Oryctolagus cuniculus: one gene and its partners. The protein of the gene in region 5 interacts with the protein of the main gene of each other region in a biochemical or structural test. Links are inferred from orthologs where the notes say so. Each region holds a gene or a part of one and is shown on either strand. Other genes may lie near its edges.

Region 1 (3,938 bases), on a different chromosome or scaffold from region 5:
ACTCCCCCTTTCCCCGATGCTGGCACAGGCACACAGCTCCTCACTCCCCCACTACGGCAGACATAACTAGCCCGGCACGTCCACCCCTCCAGCTGGCCTCCGCGAGCCACTCCCAGGAGCCGGGACTGGCCAAGGACTGACGCCAGCATGCCCGAGCTTTGGGACTGCCTGGGTCTCCCCACTGTCATTCAAGCTGCCTGGAAGGCGGGCAACTTGTAGCTCCCTGTCATCCCCGGTTCTAGTCCCCACCTCAGTCCTGCAGTGGCCTTGTCAATAACCACATCCGCTCGGGCTTTTGTGCAGACTGTCCCACTAGGGAAAGTGTCCTGAAGCAGGCAGAAGCCGTCACGTCAGATCTGCCACCTGCAGTCCAATCGCGGGGGCCCTGGGCAAGTCGCCTCTCTCAACCCCTCCCGCCTCTTAGGAGAGCTCCTGACCAGAGACAAACGCCAGTCCATAAGAAGCACTTGAGCACTGCTGCTGTTTCATTTTGTATTTTTTTAGAATGTATTTGAAAGGCAGAATGACAAAGAGAGGGAGAGACAGAGCGAGATCTTCCACCCACGGATTCACTTCCCAAATGCCCACAACAGCCAGGGCTGGGCCCGGCCAAAGCCAGAACTCGGAGACGCCTCCTGGTCTCCCACACAGGTAGCAGGGGCCATGCACCAGGACCCCTCCTGACGCCTTCCCAGACTCGTTAGCAGGGACCTGGATCAGAAGCAGAGCAGCCAGGGCTCACCGGCACGCCGACACGGATGCCAGCGTTGCAGGCGGCGGCTCAACCCGCTGTGCCACAATGCCCGCCCCAGGCACAGTTTTATAAGGAGCTCAGCCTCAGCTCCGTCCCAGACCAATTAAATCAGATTACTGGGGGCGGAGCCAGACCCCTGGCGAGGGCCCAAAGCTCCCCCAGGTGACTCCAATTAGCCGCCAAGCCCGTGCCCACCGTTCCGTGGGGCTCCACTTCAAAGGGCTCCCAGAACCTGGAACTACACTACAGGCTTATTTTGTGCAAAAAATTACTTCAAAATCCATGCATACTTCAAAAAGTTCATGAAAAAATGTGTATTATGAAAAAAATCAAAACTACACACAGATTTCAAAACAGTCTGGACCAAATTCAACTTACTTTTCAACCTCACTTTTCCGTGAGCTTCCGCAAGTAGCCCTCTCACTCTTGTGTTTTCGGCAGAAACCAGACTCTCTGAGAGCAGACGCTGTGTGCCCAATGTCACGGGGGTCCCGGTGTTAGCAGGGCGCATCCGTGTCCCTGTCGGCAGCAGCGTGTGGCCCAAGTGGGGACGGCGAGCTCTGGGCAGCCCACGCAGCAGGGATGTGGGGCTCGGGCTGGTCTCCCCCCCAGCCCCGCGTTCACAGGGGCAGCCATTCACGGCCCTGTCCAGCAGCACCCCAGCTGGGCCTCGCCCTGCACCCCACTGCAGCCTCCTGGAGGCAGGACACCGGCCCGGGCCCCTTTGTCCTCGGTGCCTGGCAGCCAGCGCGCCGTGGCCCCTCAATGAACGTCTGTGGACCGAATGAATCGGCCACAGTGTGCGGGCCAAGGAGGAACGCGCTGGCCTTTTCCTCCTTACAAATACCTTTATTGCCCCCGGCGAGAAAGAGGCACTGTTCCCCGCAGCTCCCCTGCCCGCTGGTGCAGCGAGAAGCCCCTCGGAGGGGACCGGCAGGGAGGGAACGGGGCCGGCGCAAGCACATCTGGCCACACCGCCCTGTCTCCACCTGGTCCGGCCTCTCCAGCAGCCAGCAGGCCCCGCTCAGGAATCTAAATTGCATGTAATTGTGAGCAGGGAGACGCAGGAAGAGGAGCCCGCAGGCTGGGGGACCCCCTGAGGGGCACAGCAATTAGTGCAGCTTCTCACAGGGCCTCCGCTGGTGAGGAAGAAGCTGCCCGAGGGAGCGAGCTGCACGCAGACAAACGCAAAACCGCAGACGCCGCTGCAGGCCCCGCGCTGAAGTGGAGGCGGCAGTGCCGGCTGCGCTGTCCCGGGTGGCCCTGGGCAGCAGGACAGCCTGCGGGAGCGACCCCGAGAGGCGGGGCCTGATCAGACACCTCACCGACGGGGAGCAAACCGGGGCGGAAGCGGCGACCCCGGCCCGGGCCCGCAGAGCCCTCCCGGCCCCCGCCCGCCCCGCGCTGCGCTGAGCGCGGGCGCGCAGGGACAGCTCTGGTGACCTGCGCTCTCGGGAACCGCGCAAAAGTTTCGGGACGAACGCAGCAAACGCCCTGCCGTGGGAAGCGGCTACCGCTGAACCCGGGGCGAGTCCCCAGCCCCGTGGGCTCGGCCAGGAGCTGTCCCGGGGACCCCGGGCGCCACGGCCCCAGCCCACCTGCGCGCGCCGCGACGCCGCTCGTTACCTTCGAGGCAGCGAGTCCGCGCCGAGGCCCGCGTCCCACCTCCACGCCAGCGGAGTAAGCGCTTCCGAGAGACGCTGGAGGGGGAGGAGTGGAGCCCGGAGCCCCGCTCCGACCACAGCCCCACCGGCCCTGCGCGCATACGGACGCGCGCTCCCGGGGACACACGCGTGGGCGAGCAGGCGCGCGCGCACCCACAGCACGCCGCGGACACGAGCGAGCGCGCCCGGTGCGGTCCACGTGCGGCCCGGCCCCGCGCGCGCCGCACTCACCTGGCTCCGGCGCGTCCCGGCCCCGCGCGTCAGGGCGCGCAGCCTCATGGCCGCCCCGGCGCCCGCGGGCCTTCAGGAGCGGCGGTCCGCGCAGGGGAGGTGGCCGGCGCCGCGCGTGCGGAAAGCCCGGGGAAAGGTGGGCGGCCCGGGAGGCTGGAGGGCTCGTGGCGGCGGGGCCCGGCCGCGCGCGCCCCGCCACGGGCAGTCGGACGCCGGGAACAAAAGCCCGCGCGCGGCGCCCAGCATCTGACACGAATTAGCCCCGTCCCCGCCCCGCCCGCAGCGCCGCGGAGCCCCGGGGACGCCGCCCGCCGGGCTGGGCAGCGCCTGCAGCCGCTTGGGCCCGCAACGAGCGCCCGGCCCCGCTAGGGTTTCAGGCCTCCGCGCGCGCGGGCCGGCGGGCTCCCGGGCTTGCGCGAGTTTTCAGTCTGGGATAGGACCCCGCCAGCCTCCCGGGAACTGCCTCACCAGCAGGGCGTGGGGAGCAGGACCACAGGCTGCCCTGGAACCAGCCGGCCTCGCTGCGGGACACGAGGACCGAGGGCGACCAAAAGCAAACCCGCAGGAGGGCCGCCTGTCCCGGGGGCCTGCCCGTATGGTGCACTTATTTATGCCTGAGAGAGAGAGATCTCGCACCCACTGATTCACTCCCCAAACCACCAACAGCCAGGACTGAGGCAGACGGACACCGAACTGTGTCCCACGTGGGGGTCAGGGCCCCAGGTGCGTGGGTCATGGCCTGCTGCCCTCTGGGGGGTGCACAGGAGCAGGAGCCAGAACTTGACCCACGCACCTGGAGGTGGGGTGTAGGTGTCCCACAGCTGCTGAGCTGAACACCCACCCCACGCACACAGCATTTTAGAAGAAATGCGAGAGCTGCCGTGGAGGAGGTACGCAGCTGCATGGGGAGCACCCAGGAGTCTGGGCAGTGGGAGGGTCCCGTAGGAAAGCCACGGCCAGACCAGCCCCTTCCCAGGGCCGGTGGGGTTGCAGGCCGCGGTCCCCATGGCCGCCCTCCCTGGAGCAGCACACCCAGGCTTCCTACAGGAGACTCCACGGAGAGCCGGTGTTGTGGCACCGCGGGTTAAGCCACCACCCACAACTCACACATCCCGTACCCCAGAGACCCCGGCCGCTCTGCTTCCAGCTCAGCTCCCTGCTGAGGCACCCGGGAAGGCAGCAGAGGACGGCCCATGCGGGACACCAGGATGGAGCTCCTGGCCCAGCCCTGGCCGCTGTGGCCACTTGGAGAGTGAACCAGCGGATGGAAGAGCTCTGTCTCTCTCTCT
Region 2 (4,085 bases), on a different chromosome or scaffold from region 5:
AGTGTGGGAGTGGATATAGGCACATAGGAGTGGAGAGGGCTATCATGCCGAGCTGGGCTGTGGGGAAAGAATAGGTTCCCAGGTGGACAAGGTGGAGGCAAGGCTCCCTGGACACTGAAGACAGCAGGTACAGAAGATGCCAAGAGACAGCACCACGGGCTGAGCATCACGAGGACTGGGGCTGGTTCTCAGGACGTGGAGCTGGCTACGCAATGAAGCCCACGCAGACCCTTGTTGAAGATCTTGAACTTTACTCCCAAGAGCAGCAGCATGGACAAATCATATTTAGACTTTACTTTTAGGAAGATCACTCTAGCCTTGGCAGGACTGGAGGTGGGTGATGAGACCCATGAAGAGGCTCTGCAGTAAGCCAGGTGAGTCAATGAGGACTTGGAGTTCAGGAATTTGTCAGAGTTGGAGAGGAAGTAGAGAAACTGGAGGTTTTTCAAAGGACTTGGTGATGATTGGCTGAGGGAGAGTAGGAGATTAGGCTAAAGGACTAACTGGAGTGCTTTGGGTGGCCAAGCAGATAACGGCATCATTACCAACCACAGGGAATTTGAAGCGGGGTGGGAGAAAAGAAATGATGCTTTGGCCTCGGCTATGCTGAGCTTAAACTGCCTCTTAGCCTTGGTCAGCCATGGGCCAGTTTCCTGCAAGGTCCAGTCAGTGGGAAAACTCCCCAAGACCCAGCTGTTCAGCTGGGCATTCTTCAAGGCTAAAACCTGAGTTTTGAAAACCCTCTGGCCCTTTATTGATTGGAGAATGGATGACGGACTTCTTCTTTTTTTTTTTTTTTTCCTTTTCAGTTTTCACTTTGGGTTTGGTCTAGTTTGAAATCAGATGCTGGTTCCAGGGGAGCTAACTCTTCTTTGCCTCTTGGAAGCCTCAGATTTTTAAAAAGAAACCATTTCCAGGGAGCGGCCTCTGGCCCTGCAGGCCCTGGCTCTCAACTGGCTCCCAAGAAGCCAGTAGAGGATGAGGCTGGAGAGCGGCAGCCTGGACTACTGGCGGAAGCCTGGAGTCTCTCGGGAGCCTATGACTGTCCCCACGGCCACCTCTGGCGAAGTGTCCTCAGTGTTGAGACAAGGCTGCTTTGGAGCCCTAGCCCTTTCCAAAACCACAAGGCTGGGCTCCTTCCCCCACCTTCCCCAGCACTAGCCGGGCGGTGGCAGGGCCGAGCACATGGGCTCGCTGGGGCCGGCTCCTAGATTCCTCGTGGGGAAGGGAGAACCGGGCGCGGGGGTGGGGGTGGGGGCGGCTGACCTGCCACCCTGGCCTCAGCAACCTGCTTGGCTCCTGCCACCCATGGTCGAAGGCGGGGGCACGCCCTGTGTCCCACTCCCACGTCCACGGGATGGGGCGCAAAGCCGAGATCGCTTCACCGCCCTCTCCTCACGCACCACCCCCGCTGTCATGCTGAAAAATCCCAAGAGCAAAGGGTGGCACGATTCCTCCCGCGCCCCTGCGGGCTGAAGGCGGGCACTAGAGCAGTGCAGTCCCAAGCTTCCCCTGCAGAAGCCGCGCTCCCCGCTCGCTCTGGGGGTAGAGGGGGCGCGAGAGAGCAAGTGGGCGGGCGTCCCGTCCTCCGCATCCTCCTCCAGGTCCTGGCGCGCAGGGTGGGAGCGCTGCGCTGCGCCGCGCTGCGCATCGCGGCCCGCTTGCCGCCTGCCCCCTGCCCCAGCCGGGCCACCTCCCCGGGCTGCCGCGGGAGGGCTACGAGGCGCTAACGTTACGCTGTTTCCGGTTTTCCAGCGGGCTCTGATTCCCCTCCCAAGGCGGCGGCGGCTGAGCGGCGGAGCCCCCCAAATGGCCTGGCCAGATGCGGCAGGTTTGCTGCTCAGCGCTGCCGCCGCCGCCACTGGAGAAGGCTCGGTGCAGCAGCTACAGCGACAGCAGCAGCAGAAGCAGCAGCAGCAACAGCAGCAGCAGCGACAGAAGCAGCAGCGGCGAGAGCGGCAGCAGCAGCAGCAGCCCCGGCGGCGGCGGCAGCAGCAGCAGCAGCAGCAGCAGCAGCAGCAGCAGCAGCAGCAGCATCTCCCGTCCCGCTGCGCCCCCAGAGCCGCGGCCGCAGCCACAGCCGCAGCCCCGCAGCCCCGCAGCCCCGCGAGCCGCCGCCCGCTCGCGAGCCGCAGCCGCCGGCGGCATGAGGCGCGACCCGGCCCCCGGCTTCTCCATGCTGCTCTTCGGTGTGTCGCTCGCCTGCTACTCGCCCAGCCTCAAGTCGGTGCAGGACCAGGCGTACAAGGCACCCGTGGTGGTGGAGGGCAAGGTACAGGGGCTGGCCCCGGCGGGCGGCTCCAGCTCCAACAGCACCCGCGAGCCGCCCGCCTCGGGTCGGGTGGCGCTGGTGAAGGTGCTGGACAAGTGGCCGCTCCGGAGCGGGGGGCTGCAGCGCGAGCAGGTGATCAGCGTGGGCTCCTGCGCGCCGCTGGAAAGGAACCAGCGCTACATCTTTTTCCTGGAGCCCACGGAACAGCCCCTAGTGTTTAAGACGGCCTTCGCCCCCCTCGACACCAACGGCAAGAACCTCAAGAAGGAGGTGGGCAAGATCCTGTGCACCGACTGCGGTGAGTCGCCCCCTCCCTCTGCCCGAGGAGCGGGGGAAGGGCGAGGCGGTGGGGAATGGGGGTGGGGCGGGGAGCGCTGCAGGTGCCCGGGCCCGGCGGTGGCCGGCCGTGGGGGGGTGGGGCCGCCCCCAGGCAGAGCGCCTGGCACGGGTGGGTGAGGAGGGGGCTGGGACTGGGGCGACGAAGGGCCGGGCTCGGCGTGGGCCAGGGGCAGGGGGCGAGGGGAGGAGCGGGCCTGTACCAGCAGGGATCTGCGGCTGATGTCTTGCAAGTGGGTCTGGAAAGCTGCCATCATAGCCCAGTAGCGGAAGCGAAGACCGAGCGGTCCGGCCGGCGGCTGGCCTGAGGCTCGGTGAGTCAGGAGCGACTCTCGGAGGCCTGGTCCACTCTGCTCCCAGGAGCCTGCCGGCCCGGGCCGGCAGGGTCTGCCGGAGCATCTGGGCAGGTTCCCAGGCGGTGGAGGCCTAGGCTTGCAAGTTCTCCTGGGGGAGGATCGCCCCCGCCCCCTCCTTCCTCTCCCGGGCTCGCGGCTCCGCGGGTCCCCGCCGCTGGCGCAGCCAGAGTTGGACTTTCTCTGCTACGGTTCTCCGTCCTCCTTGTGGCCCGGGCTTTATCCTCCATCGCGACCGCCTGTCTTTGCTCAGTGAGCCGCACAGCCTGTTCTACGTGCAGTGTCTGGGGGATCTCACGCGGTCTGTGGATCGCGATGGCGATGACACGGAGTAACTTAGTTCTGCCGACGGCTCTAAGTTCAGCTCTGACACATCTCCCTGGCCGCCTGCGTTCACTGCGCCTCTTACCTGTATGATGTCGGGGCCGCACAGGAAGGCAACTGATCAGAAACACAACCCCCACGACGTCCTAGTCTGTAGGTCTGTGCAGCTGGGGTCGGAGGTCGCCCGTGATGGGAGCTTTTTCTTCTGCTCCCCGAATCCAGTACCTCTCAGCAAGAGGTTTCAGACGGAACTGTGCCCACCCTGGAGTGTTGGGTGTCGGCCTGCTTGAGCTTATTCGTAGTATGGGTTCACTGTGTTGCGTTCGGTGTGACTCCCAGCCGCCGCGCGATCACTGAAGCGTGGTACCTATCCTGGACTCTCATTGAACTTGGTGCCTCTACTGACTGAACCTGGGTAACACAGGCAGGCCTGGGGAGTAAATTTCGTATTGAAGCTCAGAGGAAGTGTTGCTGCCGCCCTCCTATTTCTAGATCAATGCCTTTGACTTCTGGAAATCCCTCTCCCCCTTCAAGAGGGCAGTTTTGGGAGTTTCCTTATGGGGGCACATCCAGGCGCTGTGGTCACTTGAATGAGAAGAATCTGGGGAGTGTCTTCATAAGGAAAGAAGAAACAGGGGAGAACAGCAGTTTATCGTTCTGACATTCCTTCTCAGGAATAGTGTCGATTGGTTGTTAATGTTGGTTTTATGCTCTGAGATATTTTATGCTGACCAGTTAAGGCCAGTTAAAAATTTCTATATTTTTTCTGTTACTCTAGTAAGTCTTTTATCTGAGATCCC
Region 3 (4,046 bases), on a different chromosome or scaffold from region 5:
TTGGCTATTGTGGCCATTTGGGGAGAGAACCAGCGTGTGGGGTCCTGGGGCCCAGCTGCCCACACTCCCTTCCTGCCCGCGTCTGTGTTTATCTCTCTGGGCTTCACTTACTTCATCTGGGAAATGGATTGAGTGGGCTAATGTAAAATGCTGACCACAGTGTCCATCACACAGCAGGTGCGACTATTAATACTGCTGGGGTCAGGCACTGTGGCATACCGGGGTAAAGCCGCCGCAGGCCCAGCTCTGGCCACTGTGGCCATTTGGGGAATGATGAAAGACTCTCTCTCTCTCTCTCTCTCTCTCTCTGCCTCTGCTGCTTTCTAACTCTGCCTTATAAATAAATCTTAAAGAAAAAATGCTGCTGGGGTTGGTGTGATTCGGATGCTGTCACTGGGCTTCTCTTCAGTCTTCTAGAATATTCTGCCACTATTACCCAGATAAAGAGGAGCCAGTGTGGAGACAGGAGGCTTGGTCTGCGTCTCTGGTTTCCACGCCACCTTCGGGGCACAGGAAGGCATCTATTGAGGATAGTTTTGAGGGGGTGAGCACCCTCCTGTGGGCGAAGGGAGGAGAGGTTGAGGAAGAGGCTAGAGCAGGAGGCGGTGGCCAGCGGGGCACAGCTGTGAGGGCAGCGTTGGAACTGGACAGGTGCTGGGGGACGCCCTGTCTCTGTGTGTGACTCCTCTGGGAGCCCAGAGCGCCATGGAGCCCCTTGGGGTGCACCCAGGGCCCAGGTGTGTGGTCTCCCCTGAGCTCAGCCACCCCCTGCAGCCTGGGAGCCCGCCGAGGGCACGGATGGGCAGCCAGCGGCAGGAGGAACCTGAGCCTTTAGGGCTGCACCGACTTCGGGGGTTTGCCCCCGCCCACTCTAACCTGCCCATGGAGTGAAGCAGTCATTCCTCTGTGTGCTTCCGCCAGGCTTGATGGCTCTCGGCCAGGGAAAGCGAGTACTTCCCAGCTGCCAGTGAGCCTGGGGGGTCCCCAGCCTCCCGCGCCCAGGCTCACCCCTTTCTCCTTCCCAGGCTTGGGGTGCGGGGGAGGTGCTGCGATCACAGAGGTCACCCCCAAAGGAGCCCTGCCTGCCGCTGGCCTCGCCACTCCCCACCCCCACTCCAGACCCCTGGTGCCAGGGCTGGCACGCGATGGCCCCGGAAGTGCCCGCCGCCCGCCCCGGAGCGTGCGGCCTGCGATTTTCCTTGCACACAGCACTTTGTGACTCTGACGCAGACTTCAAACGGCCCCCTTTCCTGTGTTGACAACAAGGAAATAGGTGGCATTTCAGAGAAGCCTGCTGGCAGGAGCGCCCCAGACACCAGGCCTTCCGGCCCGCAGCCCTGCCCTGCTCTGGCCTCGGCGCCACTGCTCCGGCACCCAGGTGAGTGGCAGGCCTCGGGCCTGCTGCCCAGGCCTGGCCAGTATCAGGGCCACCCCAGGACCTCGGCCTCGGGGGTGCCTGGCCTACAGGAGTGGGGGAGTGGAACTGCCCCCAGGTGAAAACCCCTGCAGGGCGTGGCCTCCTCGTGTGTGTGTGTGTGTGTGTGTGTGTGTGAGTGTGTGTGTGTGTGTGTGTGTAGGCGGGGGCGCCCATGGGCTCTCGGGCCCTGACTCGTCACCTAACAGCAGCTCTGCTTGTTTGGGGACCAGAGACCCCGCAGGCGGCCCGTTTTCCTCTGCATCCACCTGCCCAGCCCCAGGTAAGTCTGGCCACGTGGAGCCGCAGCTGGCCCCCATCTCTGGCTGGCCTGTGTCAGGTGGAGGAGGACACAGCGTTAGCTGGGAGTGGGGAGCTCCTGGGGAGGCCCCGGCAGGCAGGGCCGTGGGAGCTGCGCGCTGCGGTGTCTGCCTGGAGCGGGAAGCAGACACGGCTGTGGCCACTCTTAGGGGAGCTGCTCTGCTCCCAAGGGTCAGCGGGCCACAGGGCTGCCTGCCCGGCCCCTGGCCTCCTGCTGGGCCCTGTCAGGGCTGCCTCCGTGGCTCCAGGAAGCAGAAGGAGCTTCTGAGGGTGCAGATGTGAGCTGTGGCTCCCTGGCCCTGAGAACGTGAGACTAGCTCACCAGGGCTGCGGACTCGAACAACGCATGGTTTCCACGCAGGGGCTCCGGGTCGGCCTGAGCCGCTCGTAGGTGAGCTCAGGTTAAAGGCCCGGGGCTGGGGGGGGACTGGAGAACTATGGGAATGGATCTCTCAAGCTCTGAGCAACTGCTGTGTGTGCCTGGCAAGAGGCTTGGCCTCTCTGAGCCTCTGTCTGTGCATCCGTTAGGCGTAGATGAAACTATGGGTACCTCGGAGGCGCTTGGTCCCTGACTATTGGGAAACGTGGCTTAGCAAGGGACAGGGGCTTGTGTGGTCAGCAGCTGAGGATGAGCTTCATTTGTCTTGTCTGGGCCAGCACAGCAGGTGACTGATAAAGCTTTGCTGAGACATTAGGGTCAAGTGCTCCCAGGACAGAGGATCCTTAGATGCCAGGGCTGCTCCTTCCTTCCTTTCCTGCCCTGTCCTCCCTGGCAGGGACCCCCGGCAGGCAGCCTGGAAGGGGAGGAAGCGCACCTGGAGCCAGCAGCTGGGCATCCTCGGGAGAATCGCTTGCCCTCTCTGTGCTCAGCTTCTCTGTCTACAAATCCTAGTGGTGAGTGATAGTATCCAGGGAGCCGGGCACACAGGTGCCGTCTAAGCATCTTGCTAGACCCCTCGTCCTGCCTGGCTCTGGGTCGGCTCGGGCTCTGCACGCTACAGCTGCTGCAGATGCCTGGTGGGGTAGCAGCCAGCCCCGCCATGTGGGTCCCCGCTGCCCTGCATTGAGGATTGGGGTTAAGTCGATCACTCTCACATGGGCCCCACTGCTGCCTCTTTGTCCCGGAGCCTAAGGTTCAGAGAGGGAAAGCTCCTTGCTGAGGTCACACAGCTCACAAAACGCAAGCAGTGGAGGTTGAGGTGGGAGGGACTGGCCTCACTGTGTGTGGAGTGGGGGGACATTGTTTAGTCCATCAACAGACACAGAGAACAGAGTTGGCTGGATTCAGGGACCTGCCCCTGTCTCCCCAAGAGTCGAAGGTTGCTGGGCCAGCTTGGGGGGTCGATGGAGACGTGGGGTCCCCTGGGCCCAGTTAAGAGCTGAGGGTCCTGCTCTTCTGGTAGATGTTCCCTAGGGTGGCTGGTGCCAGCTGCTGTGTCAGAGAGACCTGGGTTTAGGTCCTGACTGCCACTTGCAAGGTCACTGACCATGACCTTGAGACCCCTCGGAGCCTCAGCTTCTTTAGCTGAGGGAGGGGCGTAAGCGTCCTCATTTAATGGAGTTGTAGGGGGGCTTAGATGCAATGGACAGTGTCCCTGAAGGGCTGTGGGAGCTGTTGTTGCTGTACCCATTTGACAGACATGCACCCAGAGGAGTCAGGGGCTACGGGAGGAAGCCAGGTGGCCATAGGCTATGCCTTTGGGAGCTCAGCCGGGCCAGAGATGGAGGAGCAAATAGACAGTGATCGTCCAAGGCCATCAAGGCAGTGATGTCGGAGGGTGGAGACCCTGAGAGCCCAGAGCGCCACCAGACCCAACCTGGGGAGGGAGGTGCAGGAATCATGGATGGTACTAGGGGTGGGGGTGGGGTGACAACCTGGGGGCCAGAAGCACATGGCCAGGAGAAAGGCATGGGGGCAGGGCTGGGCGGTGGGCCCTGCCTGGCCGAGGCTCTCCTGGCCTGGTCCCCTCCTCTCTCTGTATTGGTTGGAGGAGAAGGCCTCCTCTCCCTCCCCTCCCCTCCCCTCCCCTGTCCCTACCTCTCCCCTTTCACTAGGGCTACTCCCAGGTGTCTCTGCCCATCACAGCATAGAGGAGGGCATTTCAGAAAGTCGATGGGAAAGTGGACTTCAAAGATCAGTTTATGTGGGTGTCAGGGCTGGCCTTTGGCACAGTGGGTTTACCTGCCACCTGTGATGCCAGCACCGCCTATCAGAGCGCTGGCTTAAGTCCTGGCTGCTCTACTTCCAATCCAGCTCCCTACTAATGCACCTGGAAAGGCAGTGGAAGATGGCCCAAGTGCTTGGGCCAAG
Region 4 (3,942 bases), about 130 kb from region 5:
CCAGCAATCTTTGCATATGCAAGTCCATTTTACAAATGAGAAAGCAAATATAAAACGCAGTACCAGTTGGCTCCTCCTCTCCCACCGCTTTAAGCCTCTTTATTCTGGATTTGGGGTCCTCACCTTTAATTCACTGCCCACCTTGGTCAGGGACTTTTTTTTTGGGGGGGGGGATGGCATTCCAGAGACAGAAACTGGCAGACTTACCCCCTTTGTAAGAAAGGGAACCCTGGGCAAAGACAGCATTTGCATTAGTCCCTCCCTTAGTTCCAACTGCAGTCGCCTCACTAGATCGGAGTCAGTCCTCCTCGGCCCGCCCCACCATGCTCCCCAGGATGGAAAAGCTCAGAACCTTTAGTTTCCTTTGGGACCTGCCAGATGGCCAACAAAAGGTAGATAGTTCCTGTACTGTAGTGTATACGCCAAATGCATGAAGACAAAGTGCGCATTGCCAGTTACTTAGCGAATATCCATAGCAAATGCCACTTGAGTGCCAGATTAGCCTAAGAGGTGGAGTAACTGTAATGCCGTGGCTGGCCCAACTCATCTACTTTCCCGGAGAGCGCTTTGGGCTTCCCCTTCACGTCCCTCGTGCCCACACCCTCGTTCGTAGTGCTGAGGCCTAAGGAGATCAAACGACAGCCCGGGCAGAGGGGGCGTTTTCTTCCCCCTAGGTGCTTCAAGGGGTCCCAGAGTGGAAATGGCACGAGTGTGGCTGGCGGAGAGGCGGGCAACCGCTTGAGCATCTCCAGATCAAAGCTTCGCGGCCGGACCCGCCCCCGCTCCCCACCCGCGGCCGCCTTGTTCGCGGCAGTATCCATTCCCATGACTCTGAGTCATAGGGTCGGGAGGCTCCACGGCGCTGACCACGGCTCTGGAAGCGCGAGAGGGGCCGGCCCGGACGGCACCCCTCCGCATCCGCTCCAGGGAACAAGTCACGTGCGTCCCTCCACGGCAAAGCGTCGCCTCCCAAGGTAGGAATCTTCGGCCTCAGCCCCGACGCTCACGCCAGGAAGACCATAGAGTTCCCCCTCCAAACTGGCTATACAGTCCCGGCTGGGATCACAAAGACTTCCGGCCTGGAGCGGAAGCCCGGCTAGCCCGCGTCCCACCTCGTTGGCCGCGCGTGGCCTCCAGTGCCCGTCTCAGTTAAACAAGGAGGCGGGGTTTGGTGACGAGCTTCCGCCGGGTTGCGTAGCAGCGGTGGGCAGGGCAAAGGATCCGTCTGAGGCAGCGACGAGTGGTCGGAACCTTCTTCCCCCTCCTTCCCCTTCCCCTTCCCCCTCCGGGGAAAGGCTGGGGCTGGGCACCAGGGCTGTTCGGTAGCCTGTGCGGCCTCAGCTCCAGCCAGGCTTGGGTACGGCGAGTCCAGACCGCGTCCAGGGCGGTGCGTACTGCGCCTGCGCGGGCTTCCCCCTAGAAAAGGGTGTGGGAGGGGAGGGGGCGATGTCCCGGGGGTATTGGGGCGAGGGTTGGAGATATTGGGGTTCAGGAGAAGGGACTGGCGGGAAAATGAGAAATGGAGGAAGGGCGCAGCGCTGGGGAAGAGTCGGAGTGTGAAGGGGGCTCCGGAGGTCGGGTTGTCGGGAAAGGATCCCTGGAAGAGGCCAGCGTGGATATGTGCTGGGGAACCTTGCAGGAGGGGGCCCGGGCCGGCTGGAGGAGGCGGAAGGGCGGGGGAGCAACTTGCTGTTTAAATGGGCAGCGGTGGTCCCCGAGGGGACGACGGGACCATTCCGGGGCCAGCCAGAGCTTCGCCGGGGCCGGCGGAACCTGAACCTCCGCCCTCGAAGCGCCATAGCTTGGCTTCTCTCCCGTGCCTTGTGTTTGGCAGCCTTGTCTCTTCCCTTTCATGCTTTTCCGCTCCTCTTCCCCTCCCACCCCTCCATGAAGGAATCTCGCATTCCTCACATCCTTGCCAGTGGTTTGCAGCCCGGCCCTCTTGTAGGCTTTGCACACCGGAAAGCCTTCCGCCATCCAGGACCCAGGAAAAGTGGGGAGTGAGGGGGGCAGAAGGAGCAGGGAACTTCTTCTGGAGCTCCTTCAGGAGCAAGGAGCAGGACTGAGGCATTCCCCGTTAAGAAGCAGGCTTCATTTCGCTAATAGCAAACGTGGCTATGACCGAGGCCTGTATTCCTTGAGACTGACGTGTGATGGGCAGTCAGCGTGAAGTGGTTTTAGTTTGATAATAGGTCTAGAGGCTGATACCTTTGCTGGCTGCTGGTCTTCCCCCGGTTGGCGATGGACGGGCTGGCCGCTGGTGCAGTAGCCTCATTACCCTGTGTTGTCCACTGGACCTTGGAGCTGCCCCAGTTCCCAGTAACTGAAGAGATGGAACAGATTTGTTTCCGATGTCCCCTCCCAGCCCTCAGTAGCAGTGTGATGAAGGTGTTCACAGTTCTTCTCTCCCACCAAGCCCTGACAGTAAAGGAGGCAGATAAGGCAGGTGCCTTTCCCCCTGCCTGACAGTTGAAGAAACTGAAAACCACCGAAGGGTCACGTGGCTTTAGGGTCATACAGGAGTCTCCTGACTGCTGACCCCCTGCTCTGGTGTAAAAGCTCCTCTTGTTCTGACCAAGGGGGCACTGAGGTAGGGTCGTCTCTCCCAGCATGAGCAGCTGTTTGCCTTCTGAACGTGGAAGCCATCACGAGGAGAGAGCATAGCCGACAGCACTGGTTCCTGGAAACAAATCTTGAGATTCAGGAGCATGTGCCAGTGTGCTGGGAAATGGGGTGTTGTTAAAGTGAAAGACGCACTACACCCTCCTGTGTAGGAGACTTGGATTGGGTTCTGAACTCACTGGCATCCCGTATTGCAGTGCTGGTTAGAGTTCCAGATGTTCCACTTCTAATCCAGCTCCCTGCTAGTGCACCTGGGAAAGCAGCAGAGGATGATGGTCCAAGTACTTGGGTCCCTGCCAGCCATGTGGGAAACCAGGGTGGAGTTGGGGGCTCCTGTCTTCAGGCTGGCCCAGCCTTGCCCATCTGGGGAGTGAACCAGTGGATGGAAGATCTCTCTACCCTCCCCACTTCACTCTGCATTTCAAATAAATAATCTAAAAAAAAAAAATTACTCCTGTACCAACATTGTTGAGCATGTCTTTAGGAAGTATTATTTTTATTGTGGAGAATAAATAATTTTTTAAAGATTTTTTTATTTATTTGAGAGGTAGAGTTACAGATAGTGAGAGGGAGAGACAGAAAGGTCTTCTTTCCATTAGTTCACTCCCCAAATGGCCTCAACGCCCGGAGCTGCACCGATCCGAAGCCAGGAGCCAGGTGGTTCTTTCAGGTCTCTCACGTAGGTGCAGGGGTCCAAGCACTTGGGTCATCTTCTGCTGCTTTCCCAGGCCATAGCAGAGAGCTGGATTGGAAGAGGAGCAACCGGGACTAGAACCGGCACTCATATGGGATGCTGGTGTCACAGGCAGAGTATTAACCTGTGCCATGGCGCTGGCCCCAATAAATAGTATTTTTAATATGGAAAATAAGGCCAGCATTGTGTTTACATGAAATAAATTGCATGAAAGCATTTGGGGAACATAAAAACATAAAGAAATAAAAACATAATACCATAAGGTATTTGGGTATATGTATTGTGGAGCTATAGATTTGGAATTACTGATATTACTTGTAGTGTGTGCTGAATAAAAGAATCGTTTCTGTCTGCAGCATTTCCTCTTCTCTCCCTTTCTTTTGTGCTTTCCTGTCCCCTACCAGCTCTGTGTGAATCTACTGAACCCTGTGAGTGATTCCTTGGACAGTGGTCTCTCTCCTTAGAGAGCAGCCACGTATGCTTAGCACTGAAACCTGTGGTCCTTGCTGGAGTCATCGCCTCCCCAGCGGCCTGACTTCACCTCCTCGTCTGTCCGGTCTCACTGCCAAGTGGAGGTAGCTCTCCTGACTCAAGTTTCTCCTCCTTGTTCCTATTAATAGAGTGTT
Region 5 (3,500 bases):
AGGGACTAGATTGCAAGGATGTGGAGAAAAGAATTGGCTGGAACCCGGATCCACCTTAACAGTTACCTGCTCCTACAGAGGGAGAGTGGGCCTGGAGTACCTCCTGGGGCAGAGCCCTCTGCTCTGACAAACAAGGAACTGGAGGAAGTAGAGCTGGAGCCAGAACTTGACCTAGACCTAGACTTGGAGGCAGAAGAGGACACCCTGGCAACCACACTGGGCTCTGCTCTCAGCCTACCAGTTGGAACTCTTACTCGACCACGGGGGGTAAGACACTGTAACTACCCAAGACTCCACACCAGGCCCGCACAAACCCCCAGACCAACTACTCACGGCCCCCATGGTAAGAGTAGGATTTCTTCCTTCATCTGAACCTTTTTCTTACTTCTTTCCTCCCAGAGCCAGAGCCTGTTAAGTCCATCATCTGGATACATGCCCATGAACCAGAGTGTTCTTGGAGAGGCCTGCCAGGTGAGCTCTGCTGCTGACACGAGGTGGCTGAGGGGTAGTGCAGGAAGCATGAGAAACTGAAAAGGCAGGCAACAAACAACCCAATCTTCTTCTTTTTTTAAGCCTTATTTTTATTTGAAAGAGTTACAGAGAAAGGTAGAGTGAGAGAGCAATAGAGAGAGGGGTCTTCCATACACTGACTGGTTCACTCCCCAAATGGCTGCAATGGCTGGAGCTGAGCTGAGCTGATGCAAAGCCAGGAGCCAGGAGCTTCATCCGGGTCTCCCATGTGGGTGCAGGGGTCCAAGCATTTGGGCCATCTTGCACTGCTTTCCCAGGTTCATCAGTAGGGAGCTGGATCGGAAGTGGAGCAGCCAGGACTTGAACTGGCACCATAAGGGATGCTGGCACTGCAGGCCAGGGCTTTAACCTGCTGTGTCACAGCACCGGCCCCCAACCCAATCTTCTAAATAAAGCCTTTCCTGTCTCTAAATCTGTTATCCTCTCTTTACCTTCCTTCGTAGGAGTCTGCAGTTTGTGGGGGCAGTGAACGATGCCCTCGTCCGGTCTCTCTGCACCCAGTGCCACGGGGCCGCCTGACCTCCGAATCGTCAGAAGGTCACGTGACAGGCTCTGAGGCTGAGCTCCCGGAGAAGGTGTCGGTGTGCAGGAGCCGCAGCCGCAGCCGCAGCCCACGGCCAAGGGGAGATAGTGCCTACCATTCCCAGCGCCATAGCCTGCTTACGCCCGTCACCCCTCTTGCCCCGCCAGGATTGGAAGAAGAGGATGTCAACGGTTATGTCATGCCAGATACACACCTCAAAGGTGCCTGACTCCTCCTGCAGCTTTCTCTGAATTCTCGTCTTCTCTGATCCTATCCCTTCCTATTAATTTTTTCTAACTTTCCCTTCCCTTCCCCTACCTACTGCCCATTACCATGAAGTTCTCCACCTACTTATCCTCTCTGCTCTTCTCCTAGGTACTCCTTCTTCCCGAGAAGGTACTCTTTCCTCAGTGGGTCTCAGCTCTGTCCTGGGTACTGAAGAGGAAGATGAAGATGAGGAGTATGAATACATGAACCGTCGGAGAAGGCCCAGCCCATCTCATCCCCCTCGGCCCGGCTCCCTTGAGGAGCTGGGCTATGAGTACATGGACGTGGGGTCAGACCTCAGTGCCTCCCTGGGCAGCACGCAGAGTTGTCCTCTCAACCCTGTGCCCGTCATATCCACTGCTGGCACGACACCAGATGAGGACTATGAGTATATGAATCGGCGACGCGGTGCAGGTGGCCCGGGAGGGGATTACACAGCCATGGGGGCCTGCCCAGCAGCTGAGCAAGGGTATGAAGAGATGCGAGCTTTCCAGGGGCCTGGTCCGCATGCCCCTAGTGTCCGCTACGCCCGCCTCAAAACCCTCCGCAGTTTAGAAGCCACCGACTCCGCCTTTGACAACCCTGATTACTGGCATAGCAGGCTTTTCCCCAAGGCTAACGCCCAGAGAACATAGCCTCGACTCCTTGAGACACTCGGGGAGCGTCTGATGGCAGCTAGTGCCTCTAGAGGGTACCCCTCATCTCCCTACTCCCCCCTCCACAGGTGTCAGCCCCATTTCTCTAGTCCTAGACAATTCCATTCAACCTTTGGAGGCTTTGAATCCCTTTGACACAAACTTCTTATGGTTTGTAGCCAACTGTGCACTTTGTTCTCCTTCCCAGCCCCAGGAAGGAGAAGGTTTTCCTACTTTGTGTGCTTTCCCAGGACTCCCTGGAGACATGAAGGATTACTCCCCACATCCCTGTAGCTCAGGCCCCACCTGTTAGTATGAGGCCCGGATATGTGCCTGTTTCAGAGTGTCCTAAGAACACAGGGGCAGATCTGGCAGAAGAAAGCAAAAACTGGGTACTTTTAACCCCCTGCAAAGGTTGCAGAGCTTAAAGTTCTGTAAAGAGCAGTTAGGAACAGACTATTACTCTCGGCTCTTCACTGCGGGCCAGGCAGCAAGCGAAACTTTACCTACATTATCTCCCTTAATCCTTTATACTCCTTACAATTGTGTGACAGAGAGATGACCCTGTTTTACACCTAAGTAGTCCCCCCTCCCCCATCCTCAGGGGATAATGTTCCAAGACACCCAGTGAAACCACAGATAGCACCAAATGCTGTACTTAATGCCCTTCCTCCTGAACTCCATGCACTACGGCCATAACTTGTGCATTCCGTGGTGCAACAAGAAAAGTAGCACAGAATTCCATGGATAAAGGAATCGTCTGCACTGGAGATCCGGCGACTTCTGCGTACACTTTTGGCTCCTTTACTTACGAAGACGTTCACCTTTTCACTTAACGGAAGCACTTCTCTTTGGTCGATGTGAATTGCCTGCATCACCATTAAACAAGTAAGGGTTCCTAGAACACAGCCACTTTTGGATACCACAACAGGAGATCTGATAAGCGAGAGTGCTACCGAGGGACTAAGGGCAGTGAGGGACGACTACACTGGACAGAGGAAGAGCAGGATGGTGCTAAGATTTCATCATGCTACTCAGACTTATCAATTGTTGATTTTCCATGTAATTGTTTTGGACTGCAGTTAACCACAGGTAACAAGCTGTGGAAAGACAGCAGATCAGGGGGACTGAGCCTTAAAGACTGGGTAAATTAAGCAACAGGTCCAGGTTTCAAAATCTTCCCAACAGAATGCACGTGTTCTTACTGTAAGCTGTCATGGAAAACAGATAAGTCAGAGAGCCCTTGTAAGGTGCATTTTACTTGTGTGTGTGTGTGTTTTTTTTTTCTTTGCACTGAATCAAGTTTAACCCTCCTCTACACCCAGACTTCTCATCTCAGGAAGTGGTGGGGGTGAGGGGGTAGGAAGGAAAAATAACTGGATGTTTTTGCATAAACCGTAACTCTCGTGATCACTCCTAAGGGCAGACTCACAAAGGTCCCCAGGCCCACCTGTAGGAGCTGTTCTCCTCCAGTGGTGAGACGCTTCCAGGTGGGAGAGACAGGACCCTGCTTTAGACCTCCATCCCCTTGGGAGGGGAACTGG
Region 6 (4,222 bases), on a different chromosome or scaffold from region 5:
GGAAACGGAGCGACCGGGCTCCGAGCTGCCTCCCGGATGTGTTTCGGGAGCCCTGGGCGGACCTGGGCACCAGGATCGGGGAGACTGTGACAGCCTCGAGATAGCCCCTGCCTTCCAGCATGCTGGTGTGTGCTGGTGTGGGTGTCCCACCCTCACCACCTGCGACCGAGACGCCAGCTGAGGTGGAGCTGCAGGGAAGATGAACCTGCCCCGGTCACGGCCAGACGGCCAGGTGGCCGAGACCACTGCTGGCCCCACCTGTTGCTCCTGGCATTCATGGTGGGGTGGAGAGGCGTGGAAAACACGGAGCCTTTCCTCGGGGCCGGGGGGGGGGGTGTTCCATGCCCTCGGGGGCTGCTTGGGTGAACCCCAGGCCTGCTCAGAGCAGCACCTCGTCTCTGACCCTGCAGAAGCCTCTCCATCTGGAGTCCGGGTGCCAGGCAGTCTGTCTGCTGAAGGTAGCGTCCATTCTTTCCTGTGCCCTCTGCAGTGGAAACGGTGTTTATCCTGAGTCGGCCATGTTCCTCCTCATCCACCCGTCTGACTTCCTGTCACGGCGACGTGGACGCTTTTTCACTGGTGTGGAGCTCCTTCAAGGGGTTGGTCCCACAGTCCTGCTGTCCCTGGCGGGCCCTTCTCCCTCCGTGCCCCTCCCATCCCTCTATCCTGTCCCTGCCTTTGCTCCTTGAGGAGCTGCGGGTATTGGCGTGAGGGAGGAGAAGGTCAAGGCCATACCCCGAGAAGGTCAAGGCCTTACCCCAACGGTCACACCTGTGAGGGGGACCCCCCCCCCAAAGAGTCAACACCTGGCCACATTGGGAAATGTTTTCCTCAAACATCGTCAGATGTTTTGCGCTGAAACCTAACGTTTTCTATATGAAAGCACAGCTAAGGCAAAAGGTAAGGGAAAGGCCAGAGGTGTCCCCGCCGGAGGTGCAGGCAGAGCGGCGGCGGCGGCGTCCTCACTGTGGTTTCCCCGGTGAGATTTTGCTTACGGTTTCCACTGTGATGAAGCGAAGCGCCTCAGCGTGGTCTGCAGCGTGGCTGTGGATGTCAGCCCTGTGTGGAGTAGAAATGAGGGCCCTGGCAGCCCCTACCCCGTGCGAGCACAGAACATTCTGGGCTGCATGTTCCCAAAGCTGCATGTTTCCCCCAGGAACCGTGGCCTCGGGCCCATCCCTCTTCCTATCAGTTCCTTTATGTGAGAGGGCGTTTGAGTTGATTTTTAAGACCTCTTTGACCACAGTTTTGGGGTTCCTTGGTGATGTTTGCTGGGGCCACTCAGGTCTGGGCCCGAGGAGCTGAGAGAAGCCCCTTCACAGAAGTGGGTGCAGACGAGTGCGCTTTCGATGTAGGCCATCAGGTTGTCATTCACACGCCCCGTCTGAGGTTTTGAGAACAGGAAAATAGGTGGGGCTAACTGTGCCTGTGAGAAACGTCCTGGTGAGCTATGATTTCGGTTCAAAGCCGTGCCTCTGTGAGTGCAGCACAGCCGAAGAACCGAAGACGGTTTTGTTTACCCCCGCGAGCTGCAGCCATGATTCTGTCCACCTGTGAGTACCGTGGGCCTCGTCCCCTCTCTCTCTCCCTCTCTCTCTCGGCTTGTTCTGGGCGTGTGACTTTACTCTCAAACACCGCAAGTTTTTCCTAAGGCGTAGAGCTTGTGAAATTGTGAAGATGATTTCCACAGATGTTGTGACAGCGTTTTGTTTCTTATTTAAATAACCACTGTGGTGATTTAATTGTGGTCACTGCCCAGCATGGAGAGCACGGGTGGAAAACAAACACCATGTCCTTCCATCTATGCCACGGTGCTGCAAGAGCTGGGGAGAATGGAGAGCAAAGACGAGTTAGATTTGCTGTGCAAACAGCTTTGAAGTGCATGCATTGTTTTTTCGTAATGTGCATTTCCCACAAGCTTTTTGAAGACCCCTGTGTGCACTGATTTCAAAAAAATTTCAAAACCAATGTCTTGAATTCCCTTTTCCACAAACTGGCGGTTTCTCATGTGTGCGTAGAAATGCATCGGTGTGACGTGTTGTTAAAATACCCAGTGTAATCAACTTGGGACTAAAGGCCAGGAGACCCAGTTCTGGTTCGGGACTTGTCGCCAGCTTGGCGGTCACCCTTGGTAGCTGCTTTGTGTCAGGTCTCTTATCTGTAAAATGAGGACTCCCTTTCAGCCCACCTCCCAAAAATGTCTCATAAGCAATGGATACAAATGACAGGTGCTTCATGAACTTGACTTTGGTTGCTTTCCAAGATTATTCAGGGCACTCATGTAATTTTTGAAAATATTTGTTAATTTTTGAAAATATTTGTTAGAGTTAGCTCTATGATCCTAAGGCCTGGGAGGGCCTTATTATTTATAAGTAGTTTAAAGATAAGAGAAATGCTAGTTTTGATTTGAATTATGGATGCCTATAGGACCAAATTTAACAAAGCTCAGTCTGATCAGAGCAATCAAAGGCCAGCTAACGGTCAAGGTTTTGCGTTTCTGATTTTTCCGTGGCATCGGGAAAGCCCAATTGTAGTGTTTGAGTGTCGGCTGTTCAAGCCCAGTTACTGCACAGGGCCAACACTTGTCGGTATAATTTATAAAACAGCAAACCAGGCTATTTCAGTTGTGCTGACCTGAATATAACAGTCATCATCCACACAGATGAAAACGAGGCTGCCCCTTAGACATGCAGGCCAAGCAGATTGGAGCAGAAAAACGAAAAAGCAGCAACCTGTGTGTCCCCACCTCCCCAGGGAGCTGAGCAGAGGCGTAGCAACAGTTGTTAAATATAGAAAGCTGCACGGGCATGTGTCTTGGGTTTTCCCTGAGGTCGGTGCTGGAGAGAAGGCTGTACATTACAAGAGGAAGGGTTCGGTCATATGCGACATAAATAATTGTGAGGGTGGAGAGGTGGAGACGAGGGTTAGCTTGCCTGAGGGTAAAATCAGAGCCTGTTGGTGGGATATTTTGGGGATCACTGATGGCCTTGCTGAGGCTTCCCTGTCCCACCAGCTTCTGATTTGATTTGATGGTGAGACTTGCCTGCTTTTGTTTTTGTTTTCCTGCCCTCCACTAAAGCTAGATAGAGCCCTGTTCTCTCTGGGTGAAAACAACCAGGGTTTATTGTTGACAAGGGGCCAGCTGAACGATGCCTGGAGGCGTGTTGGCCAGAGTCGTTTGTGAAGTGAGTTTGCTGTGGTAAGAGCTCGCTGAGACTTGGCCCTGCGGGCTGCTCCGAGGTTAATCATCCAAGCGAGGATAGAGGATCGTGGGGAACAGGGGAGATTCTGAGTATCAGGGCACTGCTCCAGTCAGGTTCAATTTGTGAAAATGAGCAGCACCTGTACTTCCTTCAGCCCACAGCTGCCCTGAGAACAGAACAGCCCTGGGGTTAACGAGGACCAGGCCACGCTGAGAAGTGAAGATTCTGCCTCTCAGCCTCCTCCCCCTCCTTCCCCCTCTCCCTCCCCCTCCCTCTTTCCCTCCCTCTTTCCCTTTCTCCTCCTCTCCTTCTCTCCCTCCCCCTCCTCCCTTATATAAATATATTGTTCTATGTTCTGTGCCTTTCTTCCCCATGAAAGAAAAGATAATCATGTGGGAGGTGGTTCAGTCTCTGTCCTGGAGCGGCCCGGGGCCACTGATGAAATGCGAGGTTCTGGGCCGTCTCTGTAATTTGATCTGAGCGGGTGAGGATAGTACAGTGCCTCTCCTTGAGTGAAGTGGACCGAGCCCCTCCCTTCGCAAGGACGGACCTTGGCCAGGGGGATGGATGCCCGCGGTGGGGGCTGGGTCTCTAAAGGCAGGGCACTGGCCGGCCTTCTGTGAGCACGCACGGCCTGTGGACAGTCCCCGGGCACCAGGAACCAAGGCAGCAGGGCCGGCCAGCAGCCTAATGAGTACTTGGAGTGGAGTCCCCAGCTCCAGTTCAGCCTGCTTGAGGACAACCTCACGAGAGACCGTGAGCTAGAGGCATGAGGCTAAGCGGCTCTCGGGCTCCTGACCCATGGGAGCTGGGGGATGAAAAATTAAGTCACTAAGTCTGGGAACAGCTTCTTCCCAACCGCACATAACTGCAGCTACGCTTTTTTGTTTTTAAAGATTTATTGATTTGTTCATTTGAAAGGCAGACTTAAAGGGGCCGGCGCGGTGGTGTAGTGGGTAAAGCTGCTGCCCTTGATGCCAGCATCCCATATGGGCGCCGGTTCTAGTCCCGGCTGCTCC
Region 7 (2,617 bases), on a different chromosome or scaffold from region 5:
TACGTGGCTGACGTGAACGAGTCCAACGTGTACGTGGTGACCCAGGGCCGCAAGCTCTACGGGATGCCCACAGACTTCGGCTTCTGTATCAAGGTGAAGACTCTGCCCTCCGAGGATGGGGGGACAGGAGGTACTCAGGCCCCAGGATTCCTGCCTGGGGCCCCGAGCTCCATCTCAGACACCCCCTCTTCACCCTGCCCTGCTGGAGACTCCTTGTGCTGGGGCCTGCTCTGTGGAGAGGCAGGGACGGACATTGTCCTGAAGGCAGGCGAGGGACCAGTGAGCTCCTCTTTCCGCAGCCCAACAAGCTTCGCAATGGCCACAAGGGGCTCCGAATCTTCTGCAGTGAGGATGAGCAGAGCCGCACCTGCTGGCTGGCCGCCTTCCGCCTCTTCAAGGTGAGGCTATGGAGCGCGGGGGGGTCCCGAGCACGAGGCGTCCTGGCCCCCCCAGCACATCCCTGCTGTCTGACAAGCCCCTGGCTTCAGGCAGCTCCTGTCCAAGGCCAGAAAGAGCCCTCCCCTTGGGGTGTCCTGAGCCCCAAGACCTCCTGACTCAGGCTCGCCCTCTCTCCGTCTCTCTCTCCCCGCCCCCACCCTCAGTATGGGGTGCAGCTATATAAGAATTACCAGCAGGCACAGTCTCGCCACCTGCGCCCGCCCTATCTGGGTTCCCCACCCTTGGTGAGTGTGCCTGGGGCACTGGGAGGGCGGACCCCCAGGCCTAGCCGGGCACTGTCTGACTCCTCCCCTTCCCGCCTCCAGAGGAGCGTGTCAGATAATACCCTGGTGGCCATGGACTTCTCTGGCCACGCCGGACGTGTCATCGAGAACCCTCGGGAAGCTCTGAGTGCCGCCCTGGAGGAGGCCCAGGCCTGGCGGGTGAGGGCCCTGCCCCCATCTGCGTACCTACAGGGGCCCTGCCTTCCATATGGGCTTCTGCAGAGTGGGAGGGGGGAGGCCCTACCCCCCACTCCTGACCCCCATGTCCCCCACTTCCACAGAAGAAGACCAATCACCGGCTCAGCCTGCCCACGCCGTGCTCCGGCACCAGCCTCAGTGCAGGTGGGGGATGGTGCGGGGTGCCCGGGGCTGGGGGCCGCTGCAGGCTGTCTGTGCCCTCCCCAGAGTGACTTCCCCTTTGCCTTCCTCCCTGCCCTCCGCCAGCCATCCACCGCACTCAGCCCTGGTTCCATGGGCGCATTTCCCGTGAGGAGAGCCAGCAGCTCATTGGGCAGCAGGGCCTGGTGGACGGGTAAGCGTGGGGCTGGGCGGGCAGCAGGTGCAGGACTGAGAGAGAGGCTGGGTCAAGGGCGCAGCCGGGTGTCCTGGGTAACTCTGCCCCCTCTTCCGGCAGCCTGTTCCTGGTCCGCGAGAGCCAGAGGAACCCTCAGGGCTTTGTCCTCTCCTTGTGCCACCTGCAGAAAGTCAAGCACTATCTCATCCTGCCGGTGAGTGGCCCCCGCCTTCCCCGAGATGCCCCGGTGCCTGCCAGGGAGACAGGGGAATCCTGGCACCTGGGCTCCTCCTCTGCCTCCCTTGGGGGGCCTCCCCGAGCCCCCGGCGTGCCTCCTTTTCCCCTGGACAAGAAATGGGGACCCGAGCCCTGGCCTAGGAGGGGCCTCCTCCAGCCCAGTGCCCTCCCTGAGCCCGTGCCCCCTGCCCCAGAGCGAGGAGGAGGGCTGCCTCTACTACAGCATGGACGATGGCCACACGCGCTTCACTGACCTGCTGCAGCTCGTGGAGTTCCACCAGCTGAACCGGGGCATCCTCCCGTGCCTGCTGCGCCACTGCTGCACCCGCGTGGCCCTCTGACCGCCGTGTGGACCCGGCATCAGTGCTCGGAGGCTCCCCGACTCCAGTGAGCTACTCTGCGCCGGTGCCTCCCCAGGCAGGGAATCCCCCCCCCCCCCCGCCAGGCCACCGTCAACCTTTCTTCCCGAGGGGAGGCACTTGGTGGCGGCCCTCACAGAAGCCCTGGGGCACTGGTCTGGGCAGGGCCTTGTGGGGGAACGGGGCAGGCCAGGTGGTCGTTTGCCCCACACCTTGTACAGACTGAGAGGCCAGTTGATCTGCTCTGTTTTATACTAGTGACAATAAAGATTATTTTTTGATACACCTGTGAGTTCTGTCTGGCAAGCCCTGGCGTTCCGAAGGCGGAGCCCTTGCTGAACGCATCAGGTGAATGGCGGCCACATCCTGGCCAGTGTGGGTGTTTCTCGAAGGCAGGCAGGGGAGGCCTTGGTCATTTGAAAGTCTGTAATGCCCAGCATGTACTGGATGCCTAACAATTGCTAGTTGTTGTTGTTGCTTAAGATTTATTTATTTATTTGAAAAGCAGAGCTACAAAGAGAGGGAGGCATAGAAAGAGGTCTTCTAAACTTTGGTTCATTTCCCACATGGACACAACAGCCAGGGCTGGGCCAAGTGGAAATCAGGAACCAGGAATACCATCCGGGTCTCCCACATGGGTGGCAGGCACCCAAGCACTTGGGCCGTCTTCCCCCGTCTTCGCAGGCACATCAGCAGGGAGCTGGATCGGAAGTGGAGCAGCTGGGCCCCAACTGGTGCTTCGGTCTGGGACGCCGGTGTGGCAAGCAGCAGCTTCACTGGCTGCT

Evidence for each region.
Region 1: the proteins of ERBB3 (region 5) and TNS3 form a complex in vitro, tested with the Homo sapiens proteins (2 studies listed by BioGRID and IntAct, with this or other methods). The link is inferred for Oryctolagus cuniculus from reciprocal best matches to the Homo sapiens genes ERBB3 and TNS3.
Region 2: the proteins of ERBB3 (region 5) and NRG2 form a complex in vitro, tested with the Homo sapiens proteins (2 studies listed by BioGRID). The link is inferred for Oryctolagus cuniculus from reciprocal best matches to the Homo sapiens genes ERBB3 and NRG2.
Region 3: the proteins of ERBB3 (region 5) and ZAP70 form a complex in vitro, tested with the Homo sapiens proteins (2 studies listed by BioGRID and IntAct, with this or other methods). The link is inferred for Oryctolagus cuniculus from reciprocal best matches to the Homo sapiens genes ERBB3 and ZAP70.
Region 4: the proteins of ERBB3 (region 5) and RNF41 form a complex in vitro, tested with the Homo sapiens proteins (2 studies listed by BioGRID). The link is inferred for Oryctolagus cuniculus from reciprocal best matches to the Homo sapiens genes ERBB3 and RNF41.
Region 6: the proteins of ERBB3 (region 5) and TXK form a complex in vitro, tested with the Homo sapiens proteins (2 studies listed by BioGRID and IntAct, with this or other methods). The link is inferred for Oryctolagus cuniculus from reciprocal best matches to the Homo sapiens genes ERBB3 and TXK.
Region 7: the proteins of ERBB3 (region 5) and GRB7 form a complex in vitro, tested with the Homo sapiens proteins (2 studies listed by BioGRID and IntAct, with this or other methods). The link is inferred for Oryctolagus cuniculus from reciprocal best matches to the Homo sapiens genes ERBB3 and GRB7.

Annotation. Positions count from the first base shown.
Region 1 is NC_091447.1:53,271,958-53,275,895, forward strand, and holds the start of TNS3 (tensin-3), read right to left. Parts: upstream 2,801-3,938; 5' UTR 2,698-2,800; coding exon 2,650-2,697; intron 1,324-2,649; exon of another isoform or gene 1,133-1,323; intron 1-1,132. UniProt on the Homo sapiens protein: May act as a protein phosphatase and/or a lipid phosphatase. Involved in the dissociation of the integrin-tensin-actin complex. EGF activates TNS4 and down-regulates TNS3 which results in capping the tail of ITGB1.
Region 2 is NC_091437.1:27,684,310-27,688,394, reverse strand, and holds the start of NRG2 (pro-neuregulin-2, membrane-bound isoform), read left to right. Parts: upstream 1-1,285; 5' UTR 1,286-1,822; coding exon 1,823-2,570; intron 2,571-4,085. UniProt on the Homo sapiens protein: Direct ligand for ERBB3 and ERBB4 tyrosine kinase receptors. Concomitantly recruits ERBB1 and ERBB2 coreceptors, resulting in ligand-stimulated tyrosine phosphorylation and activation of the ERBB receptors.
Region 3 is NC_091433.1:110,676,921-110,680,966, reverse strand, and holds the start of ZAP70 (tyrosine-protein kinase ZAP-70), read left to right. Parts: upstream 1-1,246; 5' UTR 1,247-1,378; intron 1,379-1,573; exon of another isoform or gene 1,574-1,697; intron 1,698-4,046. UniProt on the Homo sapiens protein: Tyrosine kinase that plays an essential role in regulation of the adaptive immune response. Regulates motility, adhesion and cytokine expression of mature T-cells, as well as thymocyte development.
Region 4 is NC_091442.1:59,030,313-59,034,254, reverse strand, and holds the start of RNF41 (E3 ubiquitin-protein ligase NRDP1), read left to right. Parts: upstream 1-1,142; 5' UTR 1,143-1,387; intron 1,388-3,936; 5' UTR 3,937-3,942. UniProt on the Homo sapiens protein: Acts as E3 ubiquitin-protein ligase and regulates the degradation of target proteins. Polyubiquitinates MYD88. Negatively regulates MYD88-dependent production of pro-inflammatory cytokines.
Region 5 is NC_091442.1:58,900,312-58,903,811, forward strand, and holds part of ERBB3 (receptor tyrosine-protein kinase erbB-3), read left to right. Parts: intron 1-78; coding exon 79-267; intron 268-399; coding exon 400-471; intron 472-974; coding exon 975-1,275; intron 1,276-1,429; coding exon 1,430-1,956; 3' UTR 1,957-3,500. UniProt on the Homo sapiens protein: Tyrosine-protein kinase that plays an essential role as cell surface receptor for neuregulins.
Region 6 is NC_091433.1:41,322,264-41,326,485, reverse strand, and holds the start of TXK (tyrosine-protein kinase TXK), read left to right. Parts: upstream 1-1,422; 5' UTR 1,423-1,450; coding exon 1,451-1,553; intron 1,554-4,222. UniProt on the Homo sapiens protein: Non-receptor tyrosine kinase that plays a redundant role with ITK in regulation of the adaptive immune response. Regulates the development, function and differentiation of conventional T-cells and nonconventional NKT-cells.
Region 7 is NC_091448.1:22,653,676-22,656,292, reverse strand, and holds the end of GRB7 (growth factor receptor-bound protein 7), read left to right. Parts: coding exon 1-93; intron 94-299; coding exon 300-398; intron 399-602; coding exon 603-683; intron 684-764; coding exon 765-881; intron 882-1,003; coding exon 1,004-1,064; intron 1,065-1,166; coding exon 1,167-1,254; intron 1,255-1,356; coding exon 1,357-1,450; intron 1,451-1,667; coding exon 1,668-1,814; 3' UTR 1,815-2,117; downstream 2,118-2,617. UniProt on the Homo sapiens protein: Adapter protein that interacts with the cytoplasmic domain of numerous receptor kinases and modulates down-stream signaling. Promotes activation of down-stream protein kinases, including STAT3, AKT1, MAPK1 and/or MAPK3. Promotes activation of HRAS.